7 linked regions of the Macaca mulatta genome follow. The protein of the gene in region 3 interacts with the protein of the main gene of each other region in a biochemical or structural test. Links are inferred from orthologs where the notes say so. Each region holds a gene or a part of one and is shown on either strand. Other genes may lie near its edges.

Region 1 (3,500 bases), on a different chromosome or scaffold from region 3:
TTACCAACCACGGAGCTTATAGGCCTCCGGGATGTCAGGATTCGCAATGATAGTGCTTGAAGACAGCACGGAGAGGCTCCGTCCACCGAAATCAGAGACTCTGGCTCCTTTGATGGCCAACACGGGCTGTCTAGAACCATCAAATTTATCAGCCTGTAAAAGAAACACCAGACATAGACAAGTGTCACTGGCAGGAAGAACAGAGACGGTTTTTATAGGAAACAAGGCAAACAGTCAATAGTAGAGTGAATGTAATCAGTGTACACGGAATCTTATACAAGACAGACCTCACACACGAGAATCTGCTCAGAGACACATCGAAACTATCACCGCTTTCCTCGAGTCGGGGGAAAGAGCGTTTCCCCACGTAAAGCTTGAATCACAGCAAATCTCACGGAGGATAAAGGATTTCAAGTATTTGCCAGACAGCACAACCCTTCCCATCTACACGGTGAAAGCTCCCAACTCATAGGACAAAATCGCCCCCACGAGGAGCTTCTCCTGTGTGTGCTGAAGACCCCATCCTACAGGACAAGACCGCCTCCACCCCAGGAGCTCCTCCTGTGTGTGCTGACCGCCCCATCCTAGCACTTACATCTTCCCCCCACAGCGTGGCAGTCACCACCTTCCCAGATGTGTCCATCAGGTAGATATTCCTCTTGGCAACCTCTCTGTTGTTAGACCTCACTGTGATTTTAGTGGCATCTTCGTAGCTCTTGCAGATCCCGATGATGTCTAAAACACAGGCGCGTGTGAGCAGGAGGCGTTCAAGGCTCCCACTCTGACGCCAGCAAAGGGTGAAGGGCAAGCACTGAAGTCCTGACACCGCCCCGTACGGTGCAAAGAAAGCGAGTCCTCCCTGCTCCTCCGTCCCATGCATGAGCTTACCTACGAGTGAGTCTTTCGACTTGCTCTCGAGGTCATCGATCCCCGTGAAATCAAACTGAACCGTAGGTAAATGACGGTCGTCTTCACAGGGCATGACGGAAGTCTCGTTATTGAAGGTCATCTCGTAGTCATTTTTAACAGCTGTGAACTGTTTGTTAGCAATCTTCAGAGTGCCTTTCGAGAAATAATACACCTGCGCAGGAGGCCACGTCACAGAATTTGAGACTGCCATCATATTGGACAGAAACCCCTGGTCTGTCACCACACACCCCTCCCCTGGGCCAGAGTCTTCTCATCCGCCTCCACCCCGGGGCGTGTCAGTTCTCAAGTCAGCACAGCCATACCTTGTTCACTTCAATAAGGGGAAAGAACTTGTCCACTTGCTCGTTGAAAGCTGTAGCTCTGATTTCACCCTGCAGAAGCAAGTGGGCAGGTTAGGGCTGCGGGACTGAGCACAGGCCACCCCAGCACCAAGAGACACTGGGACTGAGCACAGGCCACCCCAGCACCAAGTGACACTGGGATCGAACACAGGCCACCCCAGCATCAAGTGACACTGGGACTGAGCACAGGCCACCCCAGCACCAAAGTGACACTGGGACTGAGCACAGGCCACCCCCGCACCAAGTGACACTGGGATTGAACACAGGCCACCCCAGCACCAAGTGACACTGGGACTGAACACAGGCCACCCCAGCACCAAGTGACACTGGGATCGAACACAGGCCACCCCAGCACCAAGTGACACTGGGACTGAGCACAGGCCACCCCAGCACCAAGTGACACTGGGACTGAAAACAGGCCACCCCAGCACCAAGTGACACTGGGATCGAACACAGGCCACCCCAGCACCAAGTGACACTGGGACTGAAAACAGGCCACCCCAGCACCAAGTGACACTGGGATCGAACACAGGCCACCCCAGCACCAAGTGACACTGGGACTGAGCACAGGCCACCCCAGCACCAAGTGACACTGGGATCGAACACAGGCCACCCCAGCACCAAGTGACACTGGGATCGAACACAGGCCACCCCAGCACCAAGTGACATCTGAGAGCAGGGGCACACACACAAACGGGGCCCAGAGAGGACTACGGACATCCCAGGAACCCGCATTTTACAGTCACACATTCAAGTCACTGGCCCCGCTGAAGAATGAGAATTTCAACTAGCTGATCCCATAATCATGCTGCATTAGCCTCAACTGAGAAACACAACAGCACAAAAGGGCAACGACGAGTTTAATTTATTCTGACAATAAAAACCAAAAACAGCTGAATACTGAGGGACACGCCCGGAGCCCACGAGGAAGGTGCTGCACGGGGGTGATTCACCAGCTCCCTTCAGCTGCCCTCTCGGTGACAAACCACTTCACATTCGGGGCCATTGCCAAAAATGTCAGAATAAGTCATGTTTTCAAGTTGCTTGTGATCTGATTTTCACTTTTGCTTTTCTGTCAGCCAGAATGCTACAGGTGGACAAGAAATTTTAGCCAACCCACCACACATTGGAGCAATACTTTGTAAAAAAAAAAAAAAAAAAAAAAAAAAAAAAAAAAAATTAGGTTCTAATATTGATTCTGCCATCACACAGTCAAACATTCTGGGTGTTAACTTCCAGAAAAAAAAAAAAAAAAAAAAAAGACATCTACTTTTTTTTCTCCCCCTTTGGGAGTTTGAACCAACAGGAAATCTGCAGCAGTTTGAAAAGAAGGCTGAAGTACATTTTAGGAATTATTATTATTACTATTATTATTATTATTATTATTTAGATGGAGTCTTGCTCTATCGCCCAGGCTAGAGTGCAGTGGTGCAATCTTGGCTGGCTGCAACCTCTGCCTCCTGGGTTCAAGCGATTCTCCTGCCTCAGCCTCCCAAGTAGCTAGGACTACAGGCACCTGCCACCACACCTGGCTAATTTTTGTATTTTTAGTATAAACGGGGTTTCACTATGTTAGCCAGGCTGGTCTCAAACTCCTGACCTCAAGTGATCTGCCCATCTTGGCCTCCCAAAGTGCTGGAATTACAGGCGTGAGCCACCATGCCCGGCAATTGCAGGAATTATTAATAAAACTAATAGATGAACAGCTATCAAGACTGTCATGCTTCCATGGGATAGGAATTTTGTCTCATTGTCATGGTTTGGTTTAGTTTAAATAAAGCAAATAAAGAATGTGCACAGTCAGAGCCCATTTCCCACAAAACCATTTCTGTACCAAGGGCACAACTGTGTGCCTTCTGCGGTGGCCCAAAGCTGCACTGTGCTCACAAGCAGGCATCACCTCCCAGTGCTCTGACTGCACCTGCCAGCAAATCAGATGGTCTCCAGTCCCTCCTGCCCATGGGGCTACTTACACATTTAGAAAACTACTTTCTACTGCTACAAACACTGTACTTGAGATCAAAGATTTTATTTATGACCTTAACCCTCTACTCCAGACAGCATCAAAAGACAGAGGGAAAAGCACAATAACAATCATGCTTGTCTCTGGCCTACTATTATTTTTCACCTCATAGGCCCGCAGAGCTGAGCTTTTTGTTTCTCAGTGAGTCTACTACTTACTTCCCCACGTGACAAATACTCACACTTTCATCAACCAGTTCTAGAGAG
Region 2 (3,500 bases), on a different chromosome or scaffold from region 3:
AGTGAACTTTATGTGGCATCCCTCCAGGAGGTACATCATGTCAGGATGTGCCCACTATTAGTGATACTGAGTTTGATCCCTCAGTTAAAGTGTCAGTTGCTAGGTTTTTCAACGCTAAATGTACACTTTTGCCTTTGTCATTAATTAGTAATCTTTAGAGTGATGCTTTGGCATTTTGTGAATATCTTGTTCCCCAAAAATTTTTTACCCAGTGGTTTTCACATTTTGATTAAATTTGTTTTAATAGTTATATATAACATCTTTATGTGTTTCTAAAACCAAAAGTATAAAACAAGGTACATGAAGAGAATTCTTGCTTCCATTCCTGTCCCTTTCACCTCTCTTTCTCGATAGATAACCCTTTAATTAGTTTTTGGATTATTCTTTTTGTTGTTGTTATATGTTTAAAATACAAATATATTTGTATTCCCTCTACCTTCACTTAAATAAGAGATAGCGTACACTATTGTGTAGCTTTCATATTTGACTTAAAAACCTATCCTGGGGCCGGGCACGGTGGCCCGTGCCGGTAATCCCAAGCACTTTGGGAGGCCGAGGCGGGCAGATCACGAGGTCAGGAGGTTGAGACCATCCTGGCTAACATGGTGAAACCCTGTCTCTACTAAAAATACAAAAAAAAATTAGCCAGGCGTGGTGGCGGGCACCTGTGGTCCCAGCTACTTGGGAGGAGTTAGCCAGGCATGGTGGTGTGTGTCCGTAGTCCCAGCTACTTGGGAGGATCACTTGAGCCTGGGAGGTAGAGCTTGCAATGACCAGAGATCATGCCATTGCACTCCAGCCTGGGTAATAGAGCGAGACTCTGTCTCCAAAAAAAAAAAAAGTGTATTCCTTTTCTCTGTCTTCACTTGTTCATCCTGTAGTCCTTAGCTTAAACATATTCCTGGAAGCCTACCTTAATTTTTATCACCCGATGAGGTAACCAACCAGAACGCCTCAATGCAGGTCACATATTTCTTATTCTATATACTAGTGGGATCCTTCCCTCTACTTATTATACTTATTTATACCTAAAATACCCTAGGCTCACTAAACATAATAGTACTAACATTCACCACTCAAGAACTATCAGTCTCCTGATCTCTGAGTTAGGTGTCTTTCTTGTGAGCTGATTCAACATTGCCTGCTTATCATTGTTTTCACATTCATCCTACAGTATTCTGGTTGTTTACTTATCTGCATTCCTCTGTTAGACCCCTGAGCTCTGTGAGCACAGAAACCAGGGCTCACAGGACAGGATGGCCCCAGTGCCTGGCACTTGGTAGGCAATCAGTAAATATTTATTGACTGAAAGTGGCAGAAAGGCACAAGCCCAGACATGCATTGCAATATCCATAAGAACTAAAACTAAACTCAAATGGAATTTGCTCAAATGTAGTGATCTAAGCAGAAAACGTGAATTGCCTTACTTATTGTGGAGCTGTAAGTGGAGTCCAGAGCAGCCAGCGTGGGAGCCTCCAGGTCACCCTGGGGTGGTACTGGCTCATGGCTTGGGCTGAGAGCCAGAGAGGGGCACCACCAACTGCTCCTCCTGAGAGACAAAGAGGTCGGCAGGGCCTGGGGGAAGGGCTAGAGATTAGAAAGCAGCCTCAGCCTATAATTTCCAGAGATGGTGGAAATGGTTACTATGGGTAGGATCTGATGGAAGGAACCAAGCTGGAGAAGAAGAACCTGCCCTCCATATAGGAGCAGGCACCCAGGCCACACTCGGTCATCTCTCGGTGGGGGCCTGGGCACAGGGGCCAGGCCCTTCTTGATGTTGCTGGGCCTGGGGCTTACAGGATGCCCAGGCTGAGGAAGAGATCAAGCAAGAGATGAACACACTGCAGCAGAAGCTGAATGAGCAGCAGAGTGTGCTTCAGCGTATTGCCGCCCCCAACATGAAGGCCATGGAAAAGCTGGAAAGTGTCCGAGACAAGTTCCAGGAGACCTCAGATGGTAAGATTTACCCTTCTACTTGGGCCTATGATAAGGACAAGAGGCTAAAGGTATGCCACGGGCCTGCTGTACATCACAGCAGTTCCTGTTCTGACATGCTTTCTTACTTAAAACTCCCAGGAGCCCTAAACAGTAGGGGTTATTACACCTGCTTTATAGAACAGAAAATTGCTGAGGTTCCCAGAGGGTAAATGACCTGTTCAAGGTCACGTAGCTGGTTGCTGGTAGAACACAGGGAGGAATCCATATTTGTGTGGCTGCAGGCCCCTGTTTCTTCCTCTGCATTGTATCCAGTGGCCAGTCCACTGGATACAGATCCTTCTGGGACCCTCCTCAGGCATTCCTCTCTCTCTTGGTGGGATGTCCCTGCTCTGGATTGTCATTTGCAGGTCCTTCTTGCCAGGGCACTGAGGGGTCACCTGTCTTTCTTTCTGGCAGAGTTTGAAGCAGCCCGAAAGCGAGCAAAGAAGGCCAAGCAGGCATTCGAACAGATCAAGAAGGAGCGCTTTGACCGCTTCAATGCTTGTTTTGAATCTGTGGCTACCAACATTGATGAGATCTATAAAGCCCTGTCCCGCAATAGCAGTGCCCAGGTAGGCTGGAGCCCCTTACCCAACCAGCTGCTACCATCCTCAGTTATCTTTCCCTCTAGGCTTCCTGTCCCTATCTCCATCCAGACTCAGATACAGATCCTGACCCATCTGCCTTTCCCTAGGCATTCCTGGGCCCTGAGAACCCTGAAGAGCCCTACTTGGATGGCATCAACTACAACTGTGTGGCTCCTGGGAAACGCTTCCGGCCTATGGACAACTTATCAGGCGGGGAGAAGACAGTGGCAGCTCTGGCCCTGCTCTTTGCCATCCACAGGTAAGGCTGATCCCCTAGGTCAGTTGACGAAGACTGAACTGAGGCCACCAGAGGCTCTGGGGCCCAAGGATACACAGAGATCTGCAAAGGTGAAGATAGTTTGGTGGAATCTGGATTGCATCCCTGTTTCACTATCTACTGCAGCGTATCTGGCTTTGGTTTTTCTGGACCTGTCTTCCCCATCCACCCTCATCCGCTCAGCATGCCCTCACCGGCCTCTGCATGTATTCAGTCCCACCTCCAGGCTTTTGCTCACAAGGTTGCTGGCTAATAATCCCTTTCCATGTAAATCTAGGTTGATCATCACCTTTCACCCCTTCACCCTTTCTCATTCTCCTCCCCTTCCTTTAGGAAGCCCTCCTTGATCACTGTGTCATACCCTGACCTTCCCCTCCTGAATGCCAGTACTTGAGTCTGACTCCTGCAGCTTATATTGCTTGATTGTACAGCATCAATTTCTTGAGTGCTGCTCTGTACCAGACCCTGCGGAGGGATTAGGTACACAGATGTATCAGACAGGGTCTCCGGCCTCGAGGAGCTCACAGTCTAGCAGAAGCCAGACGCATAAACAGACATGTGCTAAGTGTTGTAACCGGGTGAGCATGGGTGCGATGGATACACAGAGGAGGTACACTTAACCCAGTCTGTGGGGAGGGTGTGGGTAAGCCAGGGAAGAC
Region 3 (3,500 bases):
CCTGGCCTCAAGCGATCCTCCCACCTTGGCCTCCCAAAGCATTAGGAATATAGGCATGAGCCACTTCACCCAGCCAAATGGCATCTTTTATATGTTTCTAGTGAAATAACAGAAGTACAAATAGTTACCTTATAAGTACAGATAGTTAATTTCCTCTTCCTAGTTTCAGTGTTTCTCTGCAGTAATGTATTACACATCTGGAAGACCTGTTGCATGACAGCATCTTGTCTCAGGTCATCACGGCCCTTCAGAATAATTAAACATGAATAAACAAGTACAGTTTATTTTATTATAAAAACACAGAGCCATCTGAGAATAGCAAAGGGCACTCAGAAACAAATCTGAGCATCTGTGCACCTCTTGACAGTCTCCCAAATAATTAAAGATCTACTGCCATTCTTTCATTTAGAATAAGCTACAACATTTACCCTCGCTACTTCTGTAATTAGATTAACTGGAAGTCCCCCATAGGAAGGCATACTGCAAACACCTGAGTAAAACAGCACTGTGTCTTTCCACCACTCCCCAGTAGGACCCAAAGAGCTCATGAGCAAATGGCAAAGGAAGAATGCTCTCCCTTTTTGGTACATTAAATAGCCCTTGGAACAGTACCAGACCCAGTATACTGACACAAAGGACGTCAACTTGTACTATTCAAGGAGATAAGAGACAGACACCAAAGTATTTTTTTCACAAGAAGCAAGCTCACTGTACATGTCTGTACATCTTAATGGTAATCTTTTACTTGAATCAACCATATAATAATGATGGTCTTTCAGAGACACACACACACACAAAAAAAAAATGGAGAAAAGCCTTGTTCTAGAAAGTAATGCATTTCTACTCTACAAATCTTCCTCATTTGCAATTATTCAAAATAAAGACAAAAACCCAAATAAATCAGAAAGAAGTAATCAACTAAAATTTTTCATCATTAAAACTCTAAGGGCTAAGCCAGAGAAGGGATGGCTCACCTTAACAAGCTGTCTCCTCTCCTTGCCATCAGAACCTACACAATCTATTATTTTTGGTAAATTTACACCTCCTGCTAAGCGAAATTCTGCTTTAAATGACTGTATAGTCACGAGATTTCCGTATTCTCCTGTGTGGTCCACCTAATAAAAGCATAAACATGATTGATAATAGGTCAGATACACTATTTGCACTTAAAGAAAAATACATTATAAATGGCAATTTTAATATTAAACAGAGGAACAAATGACAATGTGATATTGGTTAAGAACTGCAACTATAGGATGGGTATGGTGGCTCTCGCCTGTAACTTTAACTACTGTTTAATCAGAGATTCACTAATATACCTAAAGTCATCTGAGAAATAACTCATCACAAAAACATAAAGTAAATTTTGGAAAAGAGTAGGAGTTTTCTGGGTTGTAACTGCTAAATCTGGCATTTTAAGGAAATATTCAGCTAAATCACTTAGCTGATATAGCTAGAAAAATAGCAGTCAATCCACATGATACAGCTACATTTCAAATCAAGTAACTAGATACTAAGCACTAAACTGCAAAATGAAAAGACAATGTATTTAAGATGATCATTTTCTAAACTTATAACACTTATTATTACATATATCCCTGCCCACATGAAATTACTTCCATTATTTCTTGCAATGAAAGAACATCAGAACACAGCTAAGTGTATTATGCATATGAAGTCAACTTAATATTATAATAATAGGTACTATATTACTTAATACTGTGATATATCACAGCCAATACATTTTATTGCACATAGAATTTTTAAGAACAATATATGACAATTGGAACCTTCCTTGCCAAGTCAAAAATTAATCTTGGCATAAGCACACAGAAACTCTCCTTCTGGCCAATGAAAGTAACAGTCTATAGACCTTCATAAGAAAGATGGGAGGTGCAGAACTGAAGGCAACGGAAAAGAAAGCAAGAGAAGCTTTTGAGTATTTTAGGGCTTGGGCAAAGGAAATTATAATACTGAGAAATTATAGGTTGAAACACATGAAATTTGCCAATATTTAACCAATTCTGACTTACATAAAAATACTATTTCAAATGGTTCAATCTAATAAAAAAAAATTTAGTTTAAAAAAAAATCAAGAGTTAATTATAAATTACCTTAATTTCCATAGTAGGGACAACAACATCTTCTAAATTCTTAAGTTTAGTAATTGGCTGGTCTGCTGGAATATTTATGCCTTCTGTATTGAAAAATGGAGAGATTTTAGTAATAAACTGAGGAACAGCACTGAAGGTCAAGCAGGAATAGTCAGCAGATACCACTGGCCCCAACTTGTTGCTAATCTGTGGTTCAGGCTGTGATTGAGAAATGAAGACTCTAGGCTTTGGCCACTGTGCGGCTCAGGGTCAAAGCTCAACAGTGGCTAATGTAGCTTTAAGTAAATTTGCAGGTTACCTGACAGGAGTAACTAGACCAGATTCCACCTGAGGAACCAGACTAAGCATCTTAAAATACTTACGTAATAGTTTGCATAGTACATAGATAACATACTCCTGTCACATCACTATTAAATGCAACTAAAAGACATGTCAATACTTTTTGTTTGCTTAGAGAAACAGTATGTGAAGCCCCATTCGTGTTTTAAAGTAATAAGAATTTAAACTTGAAGATATGATTCTGAATAGAAAAAAAAATGCAATTATTAAAGTATGGGGAGATACTTAGAAGCATACTTAGAGACTAGTCACAAAACCAAAGATTATAGCAGCTTATAATTATCTGAACTGACACAGTAAGAAGAATAATTAAATAATAGCATTTTAGCACCTATGGTAGAAATGGTAAAGGCTTTTTGTTTTTAAGTCCTAGGGCACAGTTTTAGTAACCACATCATTTAAAAAAACTTTTGACTCTAGAAATGTTCAGTTATTCAATTATTTGAATAGACTTGCCTCTATGCAATTCTCCGTAATAAGTATGCCAGAAGATTATCAGAAGAAATCAAATAATTAATTTAGTGTAGTCACCTATTATCAGTTCTACCAAGAGATATTAAGTGAAAAAGCAACCAGGGAATGTTGAAGCTATCAGATATAAATTAAGCTTTTGGATTACGTTTGTGATTTTAAGCAGATTTACTTATTAGGCTCTATAATTAATATATGTCTACAGAGAGTAACATAGCAAGAAAGTAATGTTCCTTCTTTGAAACACATACTTCTCTGAGTCTTCCACTGAGTGGCATCTAAGTTTGCTAATATAATATAAGCATCACAAAGTGCCTCAACACTTCTGACCATCTGAGGTCTCCTACTTCTGATAGTACATATTATTCTGTTTGCAGCCTCTGTTCGATCCTATTAATAAAAAACAAACAAAAAACATTACATAAGGAACTACCCAACATTTAAACTTCTCAGAGTTAGAAAAACAAAAACAGAATTTATGCACAAATCTAGACAATGGAATGATTATAATTCCTCAGATACAAACAAAACAGTCATAAATGAAATACATCAAAAATACATACCAATGCAATATCA
Region 4 (3,500 bases), about 17 Mb from region 3:
ATGCATAGTTACGAAATTTCACAACACTTATCTCTCCTATGAATCACGTAAACATTTTTGAAAACAAGACTAGGGCAAGAAGTGATTCATCTGTTTTTTTTTATTATTTTATTTTTTGAGACAAAGTCTTGCTCTGTCGCTCAGGCTGCCGTGCAGTGGTGTGATCTTGGCTCACTGCAGCCTTGACCTCTCAAGTTCAAGTGATCCTCTCACTTTAGCCTCCTCAGGAGCCAGGACTACAGAGGCACACCACCACGTCCAGCTACTTTTATTTATTTTTTTGTAGAAATGGGGTCTCACTATGTTTCCCAGGCTGGTCTCAAACTCCTGGGCTCAAGCAATCCTTCTGCCTCAGCCTCCCAAAGTGCTGTGATTACAGGCCTGAGCTACCAGGCCTGCTCTGATTCATCTATCTTTGAAGTGCCTCTAAAGTTTCTAAGTTGGGATTCTCTTTTTTTTTTTTTTTTTTTTTTTTGAGACAGAGTCTTGCTCTGTCACCCAGGCTGGAGTGCAGTAGCCAGGTTGGGATTCTTAGTTTGAAAACCATATTGAATTAATTCAAAGGAAACTTTTCATGGATTTATATTACCATTTTTCCTTGAAATCTGAACATTAAAAAAAACTGGGACTTGCTTTGTTTTTAGAATTGCCATGGGACCAACCCAGTGACAGCTGTCAGGAATATTCTGACTGGAAAGAAAAAAAAACATACCTCAACCCTTGGAAAAAAATCGATTCTGCTCCTCTAGGTAACGGATTATCTTGAGTGAAAGAGTACTGATTTCTTGAAGTCTTGTGCTATTTGAATTTTTTCTTATTTTTTTGTTTTAAACTTAGAAATAATTCATGAATCTTGTAGATAAATTGGTAACTATAAGTAAAAATTAAGGAAAAAATAACTCTTTCGTCCCAGAACTCTGCCATAGATTTTTAAAAATATTTTGGGGAGTGTATATTCAGAGCAACTTGAATCTGTGCTCTTAGGTGGCTTTTTACTTAAAAAAAAAAAAAAGTTTTCACATGTGCTATACTTTGTTACAAATAAACTCATTTGTTGCTTAATTATAGGGATGCACTCTAACAGTTGTTTCCTTAGGTGAGTTCATCATTGTGTGAACATCATAGAGTATACTTACATAAATCTAGATAGTACAGCTTACTATAAATCTAGCTATATGGTATAGCCTATTGGTCCCAGGCTGCAAACCTCTATAGCATGTTACTCTATTGAGTACTGTAAGGAATTGTAACATAATGGTATTTGTGTATCTAAATATAGGAAAAGTATAGTAAAAATACAGTGTTATAATCTAATGGGACTGTCTGTTATACATGTGGTCCATTCTTGACTGAAACATCATTCATGTGGCCCATGAGTATGTAAAATGAATATATGTATATTATTTATATGTGTTTTTATACAAAATGAGATCACACTAATATTTTGTAACTGCTTTTGGTTTTCATGTGCAGTGAACATTCTTCCATGACTATAATTGTAGGTCTACATCGTTGTTTTAAAGGCTGTGATGATATTCTGCCATGTGGATATGCCTTATGATACTCTTTTAATCACTTTGTTGGAGATTTTTCTAAATTTTCACAGATACAAAAGAGATATAAGTATCTGTGTAACTTAATCATGACGCATACCCTTAAATTGTTCATTGAAATCCCCAGAAGCAAAATTGCAGCATCAAAGATGTAGTTTTTATTATTATGGCTTATTTTGTCAAATTGCTTCCTGAAAGTTCGAACCATTTCATCACAGTCTCATCAATTTACATTAAAAAAAAAAAAAAAAAAAAAACTAACAGGCCTTTAAATGATAGTCTTTTATTTTTATTTTAAATTTAATACTAATGAAGTTGTATACACTTTATTTATATGTTAGTTTTTTGTCTATTTTGCTCATTTTTGTCAAGCATATTTTTCTTACCAGTTTGAAGTTTTTTGTTTTTTTTTTGTAACATATTGACCTTTGCACTTGTTACAAATACTTTTCACAGTTTATCATTTATTTTCATTTTGTTTTGCTATATTGACATTCAAATCTATTATCTTGTCCTTTGTGGTCCCTGACTATAATGTCTTTGGAAAGGTCTTCTACCTCTACTATTTAAAAGTTCCCTATTTTTTCATTTAATGGTTTTATGGCTTCATTTTTACATTTAAATCTTTGGTCCATTAGGAAATAATTTTGATGTAGGGAGATATATGAATTTTTTCTCAAGAAAATCAAGATACCTTAGGATGGTTAGATTACTGTCTCTTTAAAAGTTATTGGTAAGTAAATGTTCATTATAAAACTGAATAAGGGGGTCACGTGAGAACATGACATTGAAGTAATGAAATTCAGTATTGAAAATGGATATAAGGGGGTTTCTGTATCTTTTTGTTAATCTTGTCACATGAGGAGAAACATTTCCACCTGGCTCTTGTTCTCAGTTGCAAACATTTGAGAATCAGATCAAGGGAAGACTATTCCAAGATATAGACAGCAGCAGAGAAAAACCGCATGAAATTAAAGCAATAATTTAGTAGCTTTAATTCTTTCTCTTCCCCAGAAATAATATTTAGACATGAGTAGGCCAACAGAAAATGTGTTTCTTACCGCAAGCCATAGGCTTCTCGAATCTCCATGACGCTTTCATGAATGTTGTCTTAATGTTTGTTTTTAGCTCTGCTGCATAAAATCCTAGTTGAGAATCCATCAGCAAGAATTACCATTCCAGACATCAAAAAAGATAGATGGTACAACAAACCCCTCAAGAAAGGTAATATCCTTAAACTACATGTTTGTTTTTCTGTGGAAGAAAAGGTAATTGCAAAGTCATTATCACAAATCAACAACACATGATGGCTATGATCTCTGTCCTCATGGAGATTATAATGTCTACTAGGAAAAAAATATAAAAATAATTTTATTAATAATTATAAAAGGGAAAGTCAGGGTACTATAGCTAAGTGTTTGACCAAGTCTAAGGGACAGGGAAGACTTCTTCCTGAAGAAATTACATTAAATCTAAGATTTGAAGATTAAAGGGAAGCTAGCCAGGCAAAGTAAGTGGCAGATTTGATTCTGAACAGGGGAAGCAGTATTTGAAAACTCTTAGGTTTTTGAAAGTCTGATGCATTTGAGAAACTTGAAAGATCAGTATGGCACGAGCCATGTCTGCTGTGTTCATCATTGCATCGTCAGTGCTTAGCACAGTATATGGTGCACCATAGGCACTCATTAAATATTTGTTGAGTGAATGAGTGAACAGGGAAGTGGGAGAGGAAGAGAGGTGTGAGATGAGGACAGAGAGGTCACTAGTGGCCCGTTTGTGGAAGAAGACCTCGTAAGCCATGTTAAGGATTTGGGGCTTTAACTTAAGACCACTGGGGAGACCTTTGGGAGATTTTAAGCAAGAATATGACATAGTCATATCTTTGGTTTAAAAATATCTCTCTGACGACCTTCCCCCCCGCCTCCATTGTTTTTTATGAATAGGGAA
Region 5 (3,500 bases), on a different chromosome or scaffold from region 3:
TTTCTCCATGTTAGTTAGGCTGGTCTCAAACTCCCCATCGCAGGTGATTCGCCCGTCTCGGCCTCCCAAAGTGCTGGGATTGTAGGCGTGAGCCAACACGCCTGGCCTAATTTTTGTATTTTTAATAGAGACAGGGTTTCCCCATGTTGGCCAGGCTAGTCTTGAACTCCTGACCCCAAGTGATCCCGCCCACCTTGGTCTCTCAACGTGCTGGGATTACAGTCATGAGCCACCATGCCTGGCCTGAAAAAATATATTTTAAATGGGTAAAAAATAGCTTCGAGTGTCTACTTATAAATTTAAAGTTGTATATGTAGAATGCAGGTGTATTGTTTCTCCATTTTTTACAGTTTTTTCAAGACATCAAAGTTAGACATGAAATAAAACAAGGATGGTGAGTGACAAAACACAAAATGATATACCAGTCCTTCATTTCTTTATATTAATATATTCTACCCTATTAATGCCAAGTTCAAATGTGTTTAGTAAAGAGGTCATTGTAATGTAAGAGAAAAGAAAAAAAAAAACACTATTTTTTTTTACTGGAGTGCAGTGGCACAATCCTGGCTCATTGCAACCTCTGCCTCCCAGGTTCAAGCAATTCTCATGTCTTATCCTCCTGAGTAGCTGGGATTGCAGGCATGCACCACCACACCTGGCTAATTTTTGTATTTTCAGTAGAGACAGGGTTTTGCCATGTTGCCCAAGCTGGTTTTGAACTCCTGGCCTCAAGTGATCCTCCTGCCTTGGCCTCCCAAAGTAGTGGGATTACAGGCATAAGCCACCACGCCTGGCAATTTTAAAATACACACATGTGTATTTTAAACATACGCATAGCGAAACTTACTATTGGAACCAGGAGGTGTCAGAAAGGGTCAACATATTTAAATCACAAGGTTGACTATTTTGAGACAAAAACAAATAACAAGTAGTCAACAAATAGCCATCTCTATTCTGAACAGCTCTGATTCTCTGAAGCTGTGGCAAACCACAGCAGAGGTTAACTGGTGAAGCTTTTGTGATTAGGGGATAATGTTTGCAAGTTTGCATGAATCTGCATTTTTCTAGGAAGAGGGTCCAAAGCTACCTTCAGATCCTTGGATGGACAGCACATTGTAAATATCCAATTAATATTTGTTGAAAGAATAAATGAACGGAATCCACAGCTGGTAACAGCCAATGCAACACCCAACACTGCCTCTTTGGTTTTACCTTTTATCACCTTCAAACTCCAGAATCATTCTAAGGTGGCTCAAGCACTCTGCTGCAACTAACTAAGGCAGGAAAATAGGGTCTGAAGGCAGGGAATCTAAGGCCGATTCACACAAACTTCCTGGAGCAGCCAGGCATGGTGGCTCATGCCTGTAATCCCAGCACTTTGGGAGGCCGAGGCAGGCAGATCACTTGAGGTCAGAAGTTCAAGATCAGCCTGGCCAACATGGTGAAACCCCATCTCTACTAAAAATACAAAAATTAGCCAAGTGCCGTGGTATGCATTTGTAATCCCAACTACTCAGGAAGCTGAGATAGGAGAATCGTTTGAACCCAGGAGTCAGAGGTTGCAGTGAGCCTAGCCGAGATTTCTCAAAAAAAAAAAAAAAAGAATTTGCACTCTGGCCTATGATTTGTCCATTCTAGGACCTTCATTTGCATAAGGCGCCAATCCCCACCAGTCTTGGAATGGTCGAGGTCCAGTTCACTGTGGCCTCTAATGGGCTGTGAGCCAGCCCTTCATCTACATAGGAGGTAACCAATGGGAGACCTCTAGAGGGTACTTGAACCCCAGAAGACTTTGCTACCAGGGCTCTGCAGCCACTTGCTCAGGCCTGCTCCTATCCTGCGACATGTACTTTAGCTTCTATTGCCTTCCACTTCAATAAATCTATGCTTTCATTGCTTGTTCATGCATGATGTTCAATTATTTGTTCAACGTGCCAAAAACCTGGACAACTCACAATCAGAACCTTCCACCCGGTAACACAACAACTTTCTGTAACTGTTTTTCTGAACAAAACATGATACTATATAACAAAGGGTCTTACCAAGATTGGCAAATCCATCCTGAAGGGCCCATAATCGAGCCCAGGGGGCAGGGGCAGGCTCCTCAGGTTCTTGGTCCTCAGGTTCTTGGTCCTCAGGAATAGAATAGAGTTCCTGAGTGGACACTGTCTCTAAGGAGCTCAGTGTCCCAGAGCTGGAGTGAGAGGACTGGCTGGAGTTTGGCATTGTGCTGGTAGAGGAGCTGGATATGCCCTGGGACTGTGAGGAGGAACCCTGGGACTGGGTAACGCTGCCATGAGGCTGTGAACAGGTACTGCTGCCATGGGACTGCTGAGCCTCAACATCCGACTCCCGAGACATCACGACCTCAAAAAGAAAGTGTCCAACAACAAAGGTGAGTTTCGAGGCACAAGACTTTAAAAAGTAAACAATGGGCCTATTACAACAGCAACGGGAAAGAAAAGAAAAGAAAAGAAAAGAAAAGAAAAGAAAAGAAAAGAACCCAGGGCTAACATGCTCTCCAAAAATTAAAAGTCCTAACAGCCCAGACCTACAGTTCTGGGCTGAGCTTTTCACCAGATCATTGTCACCGGATCAGTTTTTTGTCTGACAGCCATAAACTACAAGGAAAAAACAAATTATCTGAAGATTATGAATAAGTAAAAAGCAATAAAATTGAGCTGGGGGGGCTCATAAAAGCTCACATTTGTCCAATTATTTTAAATTAAGACTGAAACCAAAAATGTATTGATACAATCAATACTACATTTAAATTTCACGTATAGTGGGGGCCAGGCATGGGGCCTTACACCTGTAATCCCACCACATTGGGAGGCCAAGACGGGCAGATCATGAGGTCAGGAGTTCAAGACCAGCCTGGCCAACATAGTGAAATTCCATCTCTACTAAAAATACAAAAAATTAGCCGGGCGTGGTGGCAGGCACCTGTAGTTCCAGCTAATCAGGAGGCTGAAGCAGGAGAATTGCTTGAGCCCAGCAGGTGGAGGTTGCAGTAAGCTGAGGTCACGCCACTGCACCCCAGCCTGGGTGACAGGAGTGAAACCCTGTCTCAAAAAAATAAATTAATGAAATAAATAAAATTTAAAAATAAAATAGGTCAGGTGCAGTGACTCACAACTGTAAACAATACTTTGGGTGGCGAAGGTAGAAGGATTGCTTGAGGGCAGGTGTTTGAGACCCCACCTCTACGAAAAATAATAATAATCTTTGTGTTAGATAATTTAGCCCAACTGCAGCCTGATATAAGTGTTCTGAGCATGTTTAAAGGAGGCTAGGCTAAACTATGATGTTTGGTATGTTAGGTATATTGAATGTATTTTCAATTTAACAATATTTTCAACTTAGAATGGGTTTATTTAGACATAACGCCATTGAAAGTTGAGGAGCATCTGTGTATTTTGAAAAGAGAAAGAAGACAAAGGATCAGGTGGCTTGGAATAGAAGTCAAAAAGAAATTGTACAATAACCTGCTGCATTAT
Region 6 (3,500 bases), on a different chromosome or scaffold from region 3:
GCCTCTGGAGATGTACAGACATACCAGATTCGCACAGCACCCACTAGCACTATTGCCCCTGGAGTTGTTATGGCATCCTCCCCAGCACTTCCTACACAGCCTGCTGAAGAAGCAGCACGAAAGAGAGAGGTTCGTCTAATGAAGAACAGGTACATATACTGCATTTACTTAGATTGTTGTGGGTTAAGTGTGTCTTCACTTTCTACTGGATGTGTATCTTTACATCTACTGGTAATAGGATCTTTGCATTGGGTTTTTTTTTTCCCAGCAGAATTAATGGATCTTGTAAACTTTATTTAATGAGCTGCATTTATAAGATAGCTATAGGATTATGGGTCAATCTTTGATCATGGAGTAGTTTTCTTTCATGCAGTTTCCCCACAGGAGATTTAATGCACAACCTTCCTATGTTTGCACTCCAGCCAGCTTGCCAGGTTATTTCAAAATGGTTTCTTTTCATATATAGTATTGTTCAAGAAGATCAAGAGTTTCACATATGTATATTAACTGTGTGTTAAATTTTATCTATATTAAATTTACTTGATACAAAGTAAATGTATGGTGGCCAGTTCATGTTTTAATGAATAATATCTTTACTCAAAATAATAACATTTTAACACCTAAAGATTCTTCAAAAATATATTCTAAGAATACCACATTATGGAAAAAAATCTTAAAATACAGTCTTCAAAAACTACTACCTTCAAAATCTACGAAATGTTGGTAAAGCAGTTCTCAGAAAGTAACTTCATTGCTATAAATGATTTTGCCATCAAAAACAATAAAAACAAGTTACTAAATATTAGTTTAGAACTTTCATATAGAAGTGACCGAGACAAACAGAAGAAAATGAAAATAGGGTATGTAAAGTTTTAAAAAGTTTGAAATTGATGAAAGTATTTCACTGTTCATCCCAGGATACTTCAAACACTGATAAAGTGAAAGAAGCAGGGCTTCCAAGTCCTAGCCCTGTCCCTCCATTTTGGGAGACAGTATTAACTTTCTATACCTCAGGTTTGCAAAATGGGATTCCAGCACACACCCAAGTATTGTTTTAAGAGTCAAGTAAGATAATTCCTTTGAAAGCACTTTGTAACTGTAGTGCTCTGTTGAAATGGGTGTGTGTGTGTGTCTGTGTGTGTGCAATTTCACTTACAGCTCAGATCAGCTTTTTTGTTCCTAAAATATTCTTAGCTGTCACAATGTTAGTAAATTATATCTGAACTCAGAGAAAAATCTGTCTGGCAGAGATTTTTCTCTGATATTAGAAAAAGAGTTACAACAAGCCAAGTGACTGTTTTTTTTTTTTTTTCCTCCTGAGACAATCTTGCTCTGTCGCCCAGGCTGGAGTACAGTGGCACAATCTCAGCTCACTACAACCTCTGCCTCCTGGGTTCGAGCAGTTCTCCTACCTCAGCCTCCCGAATAGCTAGGATTACAGGCGCCCACCACCACGCCTGGCTAATTTTTGTATTAGTAGAGACATGATTTCACTATTTTGGCCAGGCTGCTCTTGAACTCTTGACCTCATGAATCCACCCTTCTCAGCCTTCCAAAGTGCTGGGATTACAGGCATAAGCCATGGTGCCCAGCCCTCAAGTGACTTTTATTTGTGTTCCATCCGTCTGTGATTTTGAGTATTTAGGTTTTACTAAACAGAAGCATAAAGGCTGCATTCATAATTTAAATATATTTTAAAATATAAATTAAAATCTGTAAATAAAAATTAAAATCTTTTCAGTTTTTAAAAATGTTTATAAGGAAACTCTTTTTTGTTGTTGTTGTTGTTTTGAGACGGAGTCTCGCTCTGTCACCCAGGCTGGAGTACAGTGGCCGGATCTCAGCTCGCTGCAAGCTCCGCCTCCCGGGTTTACGCCATTCCACTGCCTCAGCCTCCCGAGTAGCTGGGACTACAGGCGCCCGCCACCTCGCCCGGCTAATTTTTTGTATTTTTAGTAGAGACGGGGTTTCACCGTGTTAGCCCGGATGGTCTCGATCTGCTGACCTCGTTATCCGCCCGTCTCGGCCTCCCAAAGTGCTGGGATTACAGGCTTGAGCCACCGTGCCCGGCCGGTTATAAGGAAACTCTTAACTTAAAATTAGAAGCAAGTCTGATTAAGAAGTCTCAAGCAAAGGCTGAGTAGTAATATTTAAGACAACACTGCTTACTAAAGAAAACAGTTCTAAGCAAACATAGGAGCAAAATCAGAAAATAAATCCTTTTGATTATAAAACACAACAGAAGGACTTCTGTTTATGTCTATGTAGTTTGGCTCTGTGGAACAAAATGTTTCCCCCCGTTGGCCGGGTGCAGTGGCTCACGCCTGTAATCCCAGCACTTTGGGAGGCCGAAGCGGGCGGATCACAAGATCAGGAGATCGAGACCATCCTAGCTAACATGGTGAAACCCCATCTCTACTAAATACAAAAAAATTAGCCGGGCGTGGTGGCAGGCGCCTGTAGTCCCAGCTACTCTGGAGGCTGAGGCAGGAGAATGGCGTGAACCCAGGAGGCAGAGCTTGCAGTGAGCCGAGATCGGGCGCCTGCACTCCAGCCTGGGCGACAGAGCAAGACTCCATCTCAAAAAAAAAAAAAAAAAAAAAAAAAAGTTTCACTGCGTTGACTGGCAGACCAAATTTCCTTTTTCTTCTATTTATTTTTCTTTCAGATTTAGGACCACTGCCACCAACAAGTTAGGAACAGGCCACACGTAACTACAGTTGCTACCAGCCTTTGCTTGCCTGAGACTTACCATGGACTCTTTCATAACATTACTTCGCTTAGATGTAGTTACCCTACTCTTGAAAAAGGAAACTTCCTATTGATTCTGCTATAGTTCTTTTCCCCTTTCCTTACCAGATTACTGCTGCTTCTACTTTTTCAGCCTCCATTCACTGGAATCTGGCTTCTGTGACTAGCATACCCCTCATATGTCTATAAAAAGGTACAAATTCCCTCCCACTTGGCAAATCTAGTATTTTCTTTCATTTAATTTTAACTCTATGGAGTATGACACTTTCGACTTCTCATTACTCTAAACTCTTCCTTGGCTGGCTTCACCTGGTTTTCTGACTACTTTTCAAATTTTTCCTTTGAACCTTCATCCATATCCATGTATTTCAGGCATTACTTTATATGCTGATACCTCCTAATTCTATATATTCTGGCTTTGACCTTTCTGCCGAGTGCTATTTATTAAGCCCCAGTATATATTATTTTATTAATTCTACCTACAGTGAGGTAGAAGCTTATCCACACTTTAGAGGAGGAGAAGGTAAATATCAGAGATAAATCAAATATATTGCCAAAAGTCACACACTTTATGAGATTAGTAGAACTGAAATTTGAACCCATATCTGGCACCAAAGGCTGTAAACATGCTACTTCACTGATTCCAGTATGCAGCCATCTTCTGCTGTGCCTCTCAAACCAGAGCACATGGCAGTATGCTAGGGATGTGTATGTAGCCTTAGGGGGTGAATGTGGAGTGCTTTCCTTGA
Region 7 (3,500 bases), on a different chromosome or scaffold from region 3:
TCCCTTTCCCAAGGTAGAGCCTGGCCAAGCCCCAACACTCACCGCCTGCCCGCTTATCTTCTGGGCTATTACGCAGGTGGCTCTGGCTGGCTTCCGTGGGGGGCTCATCACTGGAAGGGCTGGTGACCCCGGGAATGGCAGGCAGATCCTTCGGGGGTGTTTTGGTCACAGGTGAGTTCCGACACTCCATCAGGAATTTCCGGTCATAAATGATCCTGGTACCTAGAAGGGCACAGGGAGGTTGGTCAAGCCACCTGCAACCTCTTGCCTGCTGGTTTTTCCAATTTTTAAAGGTGTGGCTGCAGTAGAGGCAGCAGATTCTCCTGAAAAACCCAGAGGAGGCCGGGTGCGGTGGCTCATGCCTGTAATCCCGGCACTTTGGGAGACCAACGTGGGCGGATCACCTGAGGTCAGGAGTTTGAGAACAGCCTGGTCTACATGGTGAAACCCCGTCTCTACTAAAAATACAAAAATTGGCCAACGTGGTGGCGGAAGCCTGTAACGCCAGCTACTCAGGAGGCTGGGGCAGGAGAATCACTTGAACCTGGGAGGCAGAGGTTGCAGTGAGCTGATTGCACCACTGTACAGCAGCCTGGGTAACAGAACGAGACTCCTTTTCATAAAAAAAAAAAAAAAAAGCCAGATCAATGAGGCTTATTTGGGGGTCTGGCTGCCACTCAGAACTCCGTTACCTCCAAATGGCCCTGACTCCCCTTCACATGGAATGATCTAATGGAAGGGGTCTGCAGGCCACCGACTGCACCTGTGTCTTCCCAGGGCTCTGTGCACACTGTGCTCTGTCCCTAAAGCCCCTCAGCTCACTCACCTACCAGGGCTCAGTGTTAACTACCCATGACAATCACATACCATGGTGGAAAAAATGCATTTCTATTCATTATTCAGTCCTGTCCTTACAGCACTCCTGTGGGATAACCAGAATAGCCGCATTTTACAAATGACCAAACAGAAAATTAAGTGATTCAACCAGAGTAGTAAAAATAGTAACTTTTGCCGGGTGTGGTAGCTCATATCTGTAATCCCAGCACTTTGGGAGGCCAAGGTGGGAGGACCGCTTGAGCCCAGGAGCTTGAGACCAGCCTGGACAACTTAGACAGACCTCATCTCTACAAAAAAGTTAAAATGAGCTGGGCATGATGGTACGTGCCTGTAGTCCCAGCTACTCGGGAAGCTGAGGCGGGAGGATTGCTTGAGCCCAGGAGGTCCAGGCTGCAGTGAGACCCTATGTCAAAAAAAAAAAAAAAAAAGAGAAATGCCTGGGCTTTGCAGAGAAGAGCCAGAGGCAGGAGTGAAGGGTGGGCTCTCCTTGCCCCCAAAGGCTCTCTTGCTGAGCCTCTCTCCTTTGTGAGGTCCCCAGTGTGTCCTGCCAGTGTGTCACTGACTTTGGAATTCTCCTACCCCACCCGCCCAAGTAGCTGGGATTATAGGCGTGTGCCACCACGCCCAGCTAATTTTTTGTATCTTTAGTAGAGACGGGGTTTCACCATGTTGGCCAGGTTGGTCTCAAATTCTTGACCTCATGATCTGCCCACCTTGGCCTCCCAAAGTGCTAGGATTACAGGCGTGAGCCACCGTGCCCAGCCCCTTTGTATCTTTTTATAGCTACCTTCTATTTATGGCAAGTGAATCTGGTGTTCCACATATAGTAGTGATAGCAATTCCTTTTAATGTACAAATAATATAATACTATATTGTAGATTCTATAATAAAATAATGTAAGCTAAATTCAAAAGCTAAGGTGATATAAAGAAATGTTAAACATCTGTACAAGTGGAATGCAAGGTATAGTAATAATTGTGCAGATAAAATATGAATAACCCAAGTTTGGGAATCATGATTTAAGGACTTCAGGAATGCCCTTCCTTAGCAATAACCTTGAAATCTCTCCCTCACTTAGGGGCTATGATGAGTGGCATTCCAACAGCTGAGATTCATTTCTTACGCTTTATTTTACTTTTTTCATTTTTAATTTTTATGGATCCATAATAGTTGTACATATTGAAATTCATTTCTTGATCCTCAGCACTGGACTCTCTGTAAACTCCTGAAAGGCACGAATTTCCATCTTGGAGACTAAGTGCGAGTTCACGAAACGGGGCTCTGTGCTGAGGCGGACCTGAGATGCTGAAGGGCAGAGGAATGTAGAGAGATACCTAAAGAGAAACTTCACCTGCTGGCCGTGTTCCTCTAGTCTGGCTGCAGCCCCTCCAGGCAGTCACTTGTCTTACTCTCCTGTCCCCTTGCAGGAGAGGCAGCGATGCTGAAGCTGACAGCCCTGCTCATTGCCTGTGGGACTCCAGCACAGAGCTGTTTCTTAGGAGGAGGGGTGTAAAGGAAAGAACCAGGGTGCATTTGGGCTCCATTCCCAGTCAGCTGTGTGACCCTATGCGCGCTGCTCCTTGCACTCCCTGCTTTGGGCCTCCGTCTCCTCATCTGTAAAATAAAGACCCATACACCTTCTAGGTCTGAGTGGCTATGAGCCCAATAGATTACAAATGGAGGGCGGTGGTGCCCTCTTTTTGCAGGGCCAGGGCAACAGTGAGGGGAGGTAAGGGAAGACCAATTTCTTTTTTTTTTTTTTTTTTTTTTTTTTGAGACGGAGTCTCGCTCTGTCACCCAGGCTGGAGTGCAGTGGCCGGATCTCAGCTCACTGCAAGCTCCGCCTCCCGGGTTTATGCCATTCTCCTGCCTCAGCCTCCCGAGTAGCTGGGACTACAGGCGCCTGCCACCTCGCCCGGCTAAGTTTTTGTATTTTTAGTAGAGACGGTGTTTCACTGTGTTAGCCAGGATGGTCTCGATATCCTGACCTCGTGATCCGCCCGTCTCGGCCTCCCAAAGTGCTGGGATTACAGGCTTGAGCCACCGCGCCCGGCCTGGGAAGACCAATTTCTAACTCTCTTTTTTTAAAAGTGACCCAGATTTGTTTTGGTTCTAGAAGCCAGATGTGGCATTGCTCCACTCTGCAAGGCTTGAGGTTGTACAATCTCCCCTCCCCAGAGGGGAGGGAAGCCCAGAGACCACAGGGTCCAGGCAGCGGGGTGGGGACTCAGTGGACACATGGCTGGACATCCTGGCTCCAGATGGGACCACTTTTTTTCTGTTGTTTCTTAATCTTTGAGACTCGGCAAGAGTCCCCCCCTTTTTGTTTCTCCCCAACTTTGCTTTTTGTTTTGTTTGTTTTGAGATGGAGTCTTGCTCTGTCACCCAGGCTGGAATGCAGTGGCATGATCTTGGCTTACTGCAATCTCAGCCTCCTGGGTTCTAGCAATCCTCCCGCCTCAGTCTCCCCGGTGGCTGGGACAACAGGCATGTGCTATCACGCCCGGCTAATTTTTGTATTTTTTGGTAGAGATGGGGTTTCACCATGTTGGCCAAGCTGGTCTTGAACTCCTGACCTCAAGTGATCCACCGGCCTCAGCCTCCCGAAGTGCTGGGGTTTCAGGCATGAGCCACACTTTTTTTGTTCTTGTTGGTTTGTTTAC

What was found.
Region 1: the proteins of ATM (region 3) and RPA1 form a complex in vitro, tested with the Homo sapiens proteins (3 studies listed by BioGRID, with this or other methods). The link is inferred for Macaca mulatta from reciprocal best matches to the Homo sapiens genes ATM and RPA1.
Region 2: the proteins of ATM (region 3) and SMC1A form a complex in vitro, tested with the Homo sapiens proteins (2 studies listed by BioGRID and IntAct, with this or other methods). The link is inferred for Macaca mulatta from reciprocal best matches to the Homo sapiens genes ATM and SMC1A.
Region 4: of the proteins of ATM (region 3) and CHEK1, one has a biochemical effect on the other in vitro, tested with the Homo sapiens proteins (2 studies listed by BioGRID, with this or other methods). The link is inferred for Macaca mulatta from reciprocal best matches to the Homo sapiens genes ATM and CHEK1.
Region 5: of the proteins of ATM (region 3) and CHEK2, one has a biochemical effect on the other in vitro, tested with the Homo sapiens proteins (6 studies listed by BioGRID, with this or other methods). The link is inferred for Macaca mulatta from reciprocal best matches to the Homo sapiens genes ATM and CHEK2.
Region 6: of the proteins of ATM (region 3) and CREB1, one has a biochemical effect on the other in vitro, tested with the Homo sapiens proteins (2 studies listed by BioGRID). The link is inferred for Macaca mulatta from reciprocal best matches to the Homo sapiens genes ATM and CREB1.
Region 7: of the proteins of ATM (region 3) and EIF4EBP1, one has a biochemical effect on the other in vitro, tested with the Homo sapiens proteins (2 studies listed by BioGRID, with this or other methods). The link is inferred for Macaca mulatta from reciprocal best matches to the Homo sapiens genes ATM and EIF4EBP1.

The regions. Positions count from the first base shown.
Region 1 is NC_133421.1:3,420,284-3,423,783, reverse strand, and holds part of RPA1 (replication protein A 70 kDa DNA-binding subunit), read right to left. Parts: coding exon 3,476-3,500; intron 1,302-3,475; coding exon 1,233-1,301; intron 1,082-1,232; coding exon 889-1,081; intron 736-888; coding exon 596-735; intron 154-595; coding exon 5-153; intron 1-4. UniProt on the Homo sapiens protein: As part of the heterotrimeric replication protein A complex (RPA/RP-A), binds and stabilizes single-stranded DNA intermediates that form during DNA replication or upon DNA stress.
Region 2 is NC_133426.1:53,229,506-53,233,005, reverse strand, and holds part of SMC1A (structural maintenance of chromosomes protein 1A), read left to right. Parts: intron 1-1,799; coding exon 1,800-1,956; exon of another isoform or gene 1,957-2,006; intron 2,007-2,359; exon of another isoform or gene 2,360-2,394; coding exon 2,395-2,549; intron 2,550-2,671; coding exon 2,672-2,823; intron 2,824-3,500. UniProt on the Homo sapiens protein: Involved in chromosome cohesion during cell cycle and in DNA repair. Central component of cohesin complex. The cohesin complex is required for the cohesion of sister chromatids after DNA replication.
Region 3 is NC_133419.1:109,179,055-109,182,554, reverse strand, and holds part of ATM (serine-protein kinase ATM), read right to left. Parts: intron 3,315-3,500; coding exon 3,176-3,314; intron 2,198-3,175; coding exon 2,115-2,197; intron 1,116-2,114; coding exon 975-1,115; intron 246-974; coding exon 129-245; intron 1-128.
Region 4 is NC_133419.1:126,025,968-126,029,467, forward strand, and holds part of CHEK1 (serine/threonine-protein kinase Chk1), read left to right. Parts: intron 1-644; coding exon 645-749; intron 750-2,681; coding exon 2,682-2,777; intron 2,778-3,500. UniProt on the Homo sapiens protein: Serine/threonine-protein kinase which is required for checkpoint-mediated cell cycle arrest and activation of DNA repair in response to the presence of DNA damage or unreplicated DNA.
Region 5 is NC_133415.1:22,818,256-22,821,755, reverse strand, and holds part of CHEK2 (serine/threonine-protein kinase Chk2), read right to left. Parts: intron 2,368-3,500; 5' UTR 2,362-2,367; coding exon 2,043-2,361; intron 1-2,042. UniProt on the Homo sapiens protein: Serine/threonine-protein kinase which is required for checkpoint-mediated cell cycle arrest, activation of DNA repair and apoptosis in response to the presence of DNA double-strand breaks.
Region 6 is NC_133417.1:112,842,871-112,846,370, forward strand, and holds part of CREB1 (cyclic AMP-responsive element-binding protein 1), read left to right. Parts: coding exon 1-149; intron 150-3,500.
Region 7 is NC_133413.1:39,997,289-40,000,788, reverse strand, and holds part of EIF4EBP1 (eukaryotic translation initiation factor 4E-binding protein 1), read right to left. Parts: intron 223-3,500; coding exon 43-222; intron 1-42. UniProt on the Homo sapiens protein: Repressor of translation initiation that regulates EIF4E activity by preventing its assembly into the eIF4F complex: hypophosphorylated form competes with EIF4G1/EIF4G3 and strongly binds to EIF4E, leading to repress translation.